2 linked regions of the Neurospora crassa OR74A genome follow. Each later gene encodes a partner of the first gene's protein in a complex. Links are inferred from orthologs where the notes say so. Each region holds a gene or a part of one and is shown on either strand. Other genes may lie near its edges. The genes, in order: NCU00927 and Bml.

Evidence for each region.
Region 2: the proteins of NCU00927 (region 1) and Bml are in contact, whole or in part, in a cryo-EM structure (PDB 6S8M), measured with the Schizosaccharomyces pombe proteins. The link is inferred for Neurospora crassa OR74A from reciprocal best matches to the Schizosaccharomyces pombe genes cut7 and nda3. Residues at the interface, in NP_594527.1 of Schizosaccharomyces pombe: Glu217, Arg233, Val234, Phe235, Glu236, Arg345, Gln352, Arg359, Ala368, His369, His370, Pro372, Arg374, Glu375, Ser376, Arg380; in NP_596650.1 of Schizosaccharomyces pombe: Pro160, Asp161, His190, Gln191, Glu194, Asn195, Phe260, Pro261, Arg262, Met406, Glu410, Ser413, Asp417, Ser420, Glu421, Gln424.

Annotation. Positions count from the first base shown.
Region 1 is NC_026501.1:6,696,616-6,700,957, reverse strand, and holds the start of NCU00927 (kinesin), read right to left. Parts: upstream 2,970-4,342; 5' UTR 2,493-2,969; coding exon 2,010-2,492; intron 1,960-2,009; coding exon 1-1,959. Other genes in the region: NCU00928 (UPF0183 domain-containing protein), read left to right, coding at 3,764-4,342. UniProt on the Schizosaccharomyces pombe protein: Could be a spindle pole body motor. On transition from G2 to M phase of the cell cycle, the spindle pole body duplicates; the daughter pole bodies seed microtubules which interdigitate to form a short spindle that elongates to span the nucleus at metaphase.
Region 2 is NC_026506.1:2,581,519-2,585,913, forward strand, and holds Bml (tubulin beta chain), read left to right. Parts: upstream 1-1,346; 5' UTR 1,347-1,547; coding exon 1,548-1,559; intron 1,560-1,800; coding exon 1,801-1,824; intron 1,825-1,898; coding exon 1,899-1,924; intron 1,925-1,992; coding exon 1,993-2,034; intron 2,035-2,099; coding exon 2,100-2,154; intron 2,155-2,227; coding exon 2,228-3,018; intron 3,019-3,075; coding exon 3,076-3,469; 3' UTR 3,470-3,997; downstream 3,998-4,395. UniProt on the Schizosaccharomyces pombe protein: Tubulin is the major constituent of microtubules, a cylinder consisting of laterally associated linear protofilaments composed of alpha- and beta-tubulin heterodimers.

The sequences.
Region 1 (4,342 bases):
CGCTTGCGAATTGATGAGGGAGCCGATCTGTAGCAAAAGGTTTTGCCTTTCCTCGGCCGCTTGTCTTCGCTCCTCCTCCAAAACCTCCTGAATCCGGGCTGACACAGTTGCGTTGGATTCAACAATGGTCTGACTAGCACCCTCGAGCTCTTGCCGAAGTCTTTCAGCTTCGGCTTTCTGGGCGCTAATTGTTTGCAGCAGATCCCCGAAGATGGATTTACATTCCTTCCCAAGCGAACTATACGAAGCATGTAACTGACTGTGGAAAGTAGTTAGTTCGCCCAGGACATCACCTGCAATCCGCTCAGCCGCCGAGGCAATAGCCTGGAGCGATTCTCCAACGCGCTGTTTCACGGTGTCCCGAACAACCTTGATCTCTTCCAGCACGTTGTCCATCTCCTCCTTGGACTTTTGCTTCTGCTCCAACAGCTGTGTCCTAGACTCTGCGAAATGCTCCAAGTTTTGATCGAGGAAGGCTTGGGTTGTGGACAGCTTGTCGAGCTCCTCCTGAACAAAACTTTGCATTCGCTCTGATACGCTGGAGATATGCTCCTCCTGCCCCTTGCGGAACTCCGCAATCCGACTTTCAACAAGCTCAGTAATACCTGTGACTTGCGATTGCGACATGGCCCACGTGCTACGATTGAGCGCATGTAGGTCGGATCTTCTTCTGTTCTTCGCGTGGAGCCCTTCGACATCTTGGACGGTCCGCTTGACGGTAGAGATAAGCTCATCACCCACTTTGGCAAGCTTCTGCTCGGTTGTTTGATGCGCCCTTCGGAGGTGCGCCTCCTCCGCCAACGACTTCCTGGTAGCTGCCAGCACCAGCTCGGTTTGGTCCAACACATCTTTGGTCTCGTCTAGCTGTGCTTTTGTGGCTTCGTGCTCTTTTCGAAGCCCCATGAATGTTGATGTCATCGTATACAGCTCTTGGAGCTTGTTTCGAAGGTTTGTTTCGAGGGTCTCGATTCTGGCCGCTTGTTCTTCCGTAAGGATCCGCCGCGATTCGTTTTGTACAGTCAGCTCTTCGTAAGCATCGTTCGATAGATAGACACCGTTTCGCTGACGAGTGGCAATCAGCTCGCTTTTCAGTTTCTCGATCTCGGTCGCAAACTCGCGAAGTAATGTTTTTTTGTTGAGTAGCGCGTTGATCTGCGGTTTGTTTCGAATGTTTTTAGCCCTAAAAGCATAATCAAGGGTGGATATCGTCTCCTCCATGTTACTCCTGGCCGGGGATATTGTCGCAATGATGCACGTCTTTGTCCGCCCACCTAAAGAGTCTTGGAGTAGACGTGTAAGTTTCGATTCTCTGTAAGGAATATGGGGGCTGCGGTCGACCAAGGCGTTGATGACGCGACCAAGGGTAAGCAGACTCTTGTTGATGAGGCCAGCCTCAGCAGCACGTTTGTTCTCGGCTCCAGAGCGCTGAATGTTCTCACTGCCAGCGAGATCAACCAAATTCAGCTTTCCTCCCATTAGATAATCCTCCCCATTCTCGGTTTGTTGCTTGACATGAACGGTAATGGTGAAGACGGTGTGACTACGACTGCTGAGGTCGTTGCACTTTGTCGCGGCCACCTGACGCCTCACACTGCCCTCTTGAAGCCATCTGAGGCCGTCTGCCGCGCTCAAAATGTGTCTTTCCTCCATACCTTGCACAATAGTCGTGGCATGGCCCTTTTTCGAGTTGTCGTCAAATATTTTGAGCTTTGTGTTGTCCTCTGCCGAAAGCAGATCACGCAGCTCTTCATTATAAAGTTCGATAAACGAGCATCGCACGCAGTGTTCCTTGTCATCCACTTCAAGCTTATTAAAGAGAGCATGCAGGACTCTGGGGATGATGCCTGCGGTGTCGGGAAGCATGCCAAAAGTCTGATTCATGTCGCCTGACATGGTATATGTCTTGCCTGTGCCTGTTTGGCCGTAAGCAAATATGGTGCAGTTGTAACCGGCAAGCATCTGGTTCAAGTCAGCCATGAACAGGCCCTGATCGGTTTGATAGTCCTTACCTCTTCCAGGATCGGCTTCACCACCTCGTCAAAGACCATGGCTTGGTCGGCGGCCTGCGAGAAGACGCGATCAAAGGTATACGTCTTGTTGCTCACTGCATTGGGACCCATTGATAGCTCAACTATCCTGCCTTTGAGGCCCTCCGTCTTGACAACAACGGCGCTATTTTCCTTGACTTCCCGGTCATTGCGTCCTCGACAGCGCACAACAACATTGATGTTTGTGGTGCCCTCGTCCTCCGGGTCGAAATCGCGCTCCTTACGCTTCGCACCTGCTGTTGCCGATACCTGTGAGTCTGCGGGGGAGGCGGCGCCCGATCGCTCGGCGCGAGATCCTCCCGGTGCGGAGGCATTTCGGAGGGCTGATTGTCGGCCTGTTGAAGATGCCGTGTTTCTGGTTGGGGGAGGTCGCATGCTGCTGTTGCTACGCGTCCCGGCGACGGATGGTGGACGCGACATGGATGATGGTTTTTTACGCTCCATGCTGGAGCTGCGCGATTGGACGATACTTTATCGAAGGGTCGAGGTTGCGAAATCGGGGAGAAGTTGGGCCAAAGGAGGGACGAGAAACGAAAAGATGCGAAGTGACGACTGTTGGGCTAAGGTACACAATGGGCCAGAATCAATCCAAAAAGCATTGGTGATGGTGATCGAAGAGCTGATGGCAGAGAGGGAGAGGGAGCGAGATCGTGGGTCGTTCAGTCGGCCGGTCGATGCCTTTTTCTTATGTGCGACGAGCTGGAAACCTGCGAAAGACGGCAGCGTCGTCGTGAAGAGATTGGCGTGTTAGATTCCACACGCCGTCGGGAATGAGCGACTGGACGTCGCGACCCGGCCTTTTCTTGTCGATTATGCGAGCGACTCGCCTGGGTAGGTGCCGTGGTCTTGTTGGATGGCGGGGATCACTTTTTCCAATGTTAGCGTTCGCTGCTTGCTGTTCAAGTTGGGTACTTACTTGCCTTGTGCTGCTTTGGCGCGACAGGAGGCATCAACATCAGTCTCCACTGTCCGCAATGCTGTAAGCGTATTCGGGCTATTGCTGGGGCAACCGCTTCCCGGTGCAAGTAAACTAAACGCACAGACCACTGATCTTCGACAGCCCGGAATCATCGCTGTGAGCGTCACGCTGACCGGTCAGCAAACAGCGGACAGCGGACAGCGGCCAGCACAACCTCCCCTCAATGCCCCTCTTTGTGTCCCCCCCATTCCGTCTCATCACGCCGCTCTCGTCTCCAGAGTCCAGCACTGATGTTTTATCGTACATAAGGTACCTACCTAGTGCTGGCCCCCCATCCGCCCCAGGCCTTGCCTGCCGCTTTCACCGCCGCCTGCCGTTCGCCTTCATGTGATTCGAGGTAGGTACGTTGGTACTTCTACCTACGTAATCTGGAGCAGCTGCCGATGGTCGGGGTCGCCCTCCCCCAGATCACGAGGGGACCTTGACGGACAACACCCAGCAAGCGCCGCTTCGCCAACCGATGATACAATTACCCATCAGACGACCAACGAACAACTTTCACCCTCTCATCTTTGCTTTCTTCGCTCTCTGACACAAAGTCAGTATAGCCACACACCAAGTTACAATACGAATAGATGATATCGCTCTCCGCCGTTCTCAACCGTCCGTCCTGCCACTAAGCCCACTGGATGAACGAGACTCGACGTACGAGTTCGTCCCATCTCCGTCGTTCCCATATACCACCTTAAGCGGTGTACAACCTCAAACATCTTCATCAGCACATACAAGTTTCAATATGTCGACACCTACCTCGCCGCCGATTTCTCCCCTTCTCTTCTCCGCCCAGCTTTATCCTGGCCGAGCGCTCGGCTGGTTGGTCCTTGGAGCGTCGTTGCACGATATCTTGACTCGCCTCAAGACAGAGCCCCAGCGGTTCACGAATCTCGATGTCAAGTACAGCCCAACCGAGCCGACGAAATCCATTGTCGTTATCGATCTCCCCGCAAACGGCATTCGTCTACAATTCGACGCTCCAGAGCAGCGGTTACGCTTAATCGAGGTGGTGGACTTTACCAAAAATCATATCTTTATCAAGGCCGCCGATAACAAAGAGCGTGACCTTGTTCGCCCTTCCGCAGCATCTACCCCGTCAACCGATAACCCCGCGGGCCCTACGTTCCGTCACATCTACCAGCGCTTTCTTGGTCCCACCTATGATGGCGAGTTCATTGATGGACCGAAGACGCCAGACAATGCCGTCGATCAATATGGGCTCTACGTTCTGTCATGGCCCGGTGTGGCCTTTAGTTTCCTCATGAAGAAAGCGAGCTACTCGGCCAAGAAGAACGTGGTTGATCTGTTGCCATCCACGCAA
Region 2 (4,395 bases), on another chromosome or scaffold:
ACTTCCTTATACCATTTGCATTGCTTCTGGGTTAGGTTGTGAAATGGGGAATGGAGGGAGGGAAAACAAATAAAAACGAACACACGGGGGTGGAGCAAGCGGAAGCATACCCTACGCACAGCATGGCAAAAAAAAGCCATCAACAGCAATGATCAAGTCATGAAATAGCCTCATGAACGGGTTGATCATTCTTCTAGTTAAATTAATATGTCAATGTCTATCTACAACTTTCATATTCTGATTCCGTATATGTTGGGGAGCATTCCGTGCTTGTCCAGCTCCATCCTTCTTTTGTCTCTGTCCCCTCAACTTTGTTTACATGTACACCTGACTGACAAGAAGATGGGGAAATGAAGGTCATCATCCCTGCCATCATAGGCGACAGCGAAATGTTGCATGGCTGCTGCAATGCAGTGGACCTACATATTTCTAGTGTACTGCTCAATGTAAGGTACAAGTAACGAGCGATCCTTTCGTTATTTGGGTGAATGAGATCTCCTTTTTCCCAATCCCAACTTCCGGTGTTTTGTTCGATAAATGATATGCGACCAGGTTCAGGAGAGCGGGCTCATCCTTCCCTTCTGCGGGCAGTTGGCAATCAAGGTACACTACTACCCCAAATTGCCAATCAGCAGGCCCATACAGTACCCCGTACACTACCGTAAGCTACGAAGCTTGAAGCGTGCCGAGATGGAGGGGTAGCTTGCTTCCCTTGTTCCTTTGTAAGTGGAAGTCATGGATGGCATCAACTATACTAGTGTATAATGCCGCGTCGAATTGAGGAGTTTCCATCTATGTGTCTGTTTTTCCCTGATCTCCAGCTAGGTAATTTGCAGGTCGGGCTCAACAATGGATGTGAATGTAGCCCCCTACGAGTCGCGATGCTGTTCCTGATCTCCCAAGTCTGGCCGGGCCAGTGACCGAGTCGTGCCCAAAACCAACAGCCAAATCCAATTGGAGGTTGCGACAGTTCGACAGCGGTCTCGAGCTGGCGACTTACCCCACATTGGCAGGAGCATGTGGGACCCGCCGCCCGGCTGGTTTTGCCTGCCAACTCTGCCAGCCAACCAGAAGCAGACTAGCGCGTCGCGCTGGCCCCGAGAGACAGCTGGGGGAGGTTTGTCTTTGGCGGTTTTTGGAGGTCAACGCGTGAGGAACCGAGCCAGAGTGCAGGGACCACCCAAACCGAGTCGACAGGGGGCCTTCCACCCTTCCAAAAGTTTGACAGTGCCTGATGTCCCCACTTTGGCAAGCGCCCCGGCAACCCAGCAGCAGCCCGGCGAGCGGCGGCGGCGGTGAACGAGAAGCTGGTGCTGGCCGGCTGTGGCCCGCTCATTTCTTGCACCAAAAATCAACAAATCTCCCTTTCCACTCCCAAGACTTCCCAGTCTCCCCTAGGCCAGACATCAAACCTCTCCACTTTCACCGACCTCCGTCGTCTTCGTCTATCCGCGTCGGCTTTATCACCACTTCCATCTTTTTGCTCTTCCATCTTTCTGCCTTCAACCTCCACATAGACCCGTGTTCGTCATCACCAAACCGTCAAGATGCGTGAAATTGTAAGTCTCCCTCTGATGCCTACTGTGCCGCGCACGCAGAGCAATCCCTCTTTTTTTTCTCTTTCCCTCCCAAGAGACCCCTGATTGCTCTACCCCACCAAACTGCCTCGTCCCCTTCTGTGCCTCTACCTACTGCTGCCCGACTCATTATGATCCTGCTCGCTTTCTCGCCATCGCGGACTGCCATCTATCGCGAGTATTATGGACATCGACGCTGACACGATTTCTTCACGTGCTATAGGTTCATCTCCAAACCGGCCAATGCGTAAGTCGATGATGGCTTCCACCCCCGTCGCGATCCAACAACAACAGCAGGACTAACACAACAGCCACGATCAGGGTAACCAAATCGGTGCTGCTTTCTGGTACGTCGTCATCATCGCGAACAACCACACCTTTGAGCGAGGGAGCCCGACGCTGACAGAATAAACAGGCAGACTATCTCCGGCGAGCACGGCCTCGATGCCTCCGGTGTGTACGTAACCTCGTGCCCAATAACCATATCTGGTGATGGCCTCGAAAGCTCACCGCCCACTACAGGTACAATGGCACCTCTGAGCTCCAGCTCGAGCGCATGAACGTCTACTTCAACGAGGTGAGCAACAACCGGTCTCGACGATCTCCCCCTCCTCGAGAATTCGCTCGCTAACTAGCTTCGCGCTTGACAGGCTTCCGGCAACAAGTATGTCCCTCGTGCCGTCCTCGTCGATCTCGAGCCCGGTACCATGGACGCCGTTCGCGCCGGTCCCTTCGGCCAGCTCTTCCGCCCCGATAACTTCGTCTTCGGCCAGTCCGGTGCTGGCAACAACTGGGCCAAGGGTCACTACACTGAGGGTGCTGAGCTTGTTGACCAGGTTCTCGATGTCGTCCGTCGCGAGGCTGAGGGCTGCGACTGCCTCCAGGGCTTCCAGATCACCCACTCCCTCGGTGGTGGTACCGGTGCCGGTATGGGTACCCTCCTTATCTCCAAGATTCGTGAGGAGTTCCCCGACCGCATGATGGCTACCTTCTCCGTCGTGCCCTCCCCCAAGGTCTCCGATACCGTTGTCGAGCCCTACAACGCCACCCTCTCCGTCCATCAGCTCGTTGAGAACTCCGACGAGACCTTCTGCATTGACAACGAGGCGCTTTACGACATTTGCATGAGGACCCTCAAGCTCTCCAACCCCTCTTACGGCGATCTTAACCACCTCGTCTCCGCCGTCATGTCCGGTGTCACCGTCTCCCTCCGTTTCCCCGGCCAGCTGAACTCCGATCTCCGCAAGCTCGCCGTCAACATGGTTCCCTTCCCCCGTCTCCACTTCTTCATGGTCGGCTTCGCTCCCCTTACCAGCCGCGGCGCCCACCACTTCCGTGCCGTCTCCGTGCCCGAGTTGACCCAGCAGATGTTCGACCCCAAGAACATGATGGCTGCTTCTGACTTCCGCAACGGTCGTTACCTCACCTGCTCTGCCATCTTGTAAGTTGCTGATCATGGAATGCTGCTTTTGACCACTAATACTGACGAATCAAACAGCCGTGGCAAGGTCTCCATGAAGGAGGTTGAGGACCAGATGCGCAACGTTCAGAACAAGAACTCTTCCTACTTCGTCGAGTGGATCCCCAACAACGTCCAGACTGCCCTCTGCTCTATCCCTCCCCGCGGTCTCAAGATGTCCTCCACCTTCGTCGGTAACTCCACCGCCATCCAGGAGCTCTTCAAGCGTATCGGCGAGCAGTTCACTGCCATGTTCAGGCGCAAGGCTTTCTTGCATTGGTACACTGGTGAGGGTATGGACGAGATGGAGTTCACTGAGGCTGAGTCCAACATGAACGATCTCGTCTCCGAGTACCAGCAGTACCAGGATGCTGGTGTTGACGAGGAGGAGGAGGAGTACGAGGAGGAGGCCCCCCTTGAGGGCGAGGAGTAAATCATTCCACTCAACATTCAGGCTCCTCTGCGCACGTAAAGTGCCAAAGGCAATACCCTGCTCGGTGGAATGCCGCCGGGCTTGTCGATTTTACGCACATATGCGCATTCTTGACTTGAAGCGGAGGAGTTCTTCGTTGCGGGTTACAGTGTTTTAATAAAAGAATGGTCAAATCAAACTGCTAGATATACCTGTCAGACACTCTAGTTGTTGACCCCTATACTCTTAATACATCAGACAGTACATGCATGTTGCATGATGATGATAATGTCTGTTTAGATTCCAAGTGTCTACTGCTGGCCAAGCTTTCTCTCTACGCACTCTGTAACTATGGGAGCGTGAGATGTATCAAGAGTCCTTAGTTTTGGGGGACTATGTCTGTGTTGTGCGGTATACTTGTAACTAGCTTGCGGAAGATGCGACAGATCTACGTAGATCAGGGATTATCATAATTATCCCTGACATAATAGCTGTTACGCGGCAGCGGCGAAAAGGCAGTCGGTGACTTTTAGATACTCAAATGTTCGCCCACTTTTTCATGTGCGTTGAGTCATGTAATGTAACCAAGGAAGGGCGAGAACCAGACATGGTCAACAGAGTCAGTGATAAGATTCCCAGCTTCTCGCAGTGAGTATTTTGCAAGACCGAAAGCCACAACAGAACACCAAGTCCAAGTGAACTGTCTTACAAGCCCATTATGGAAAGTCTCCATTTACCCAACTGCCTAGGTAGTACTGAGCACTTGACTTCAGATAGGATGTGGAAAGCGCAGTTAGGTGTGAAAGTTCAACTGACTGCTGTGATAGGTAGAATGGTCGGGCAATTGAGGGATTCTATAGTGTTTGGTGGGTATACGCAGTCAAAACTCATGTCAAGGAGAATAATCAGTATCCAAGAACAGAATAATGGATGGATCAGACAACGAA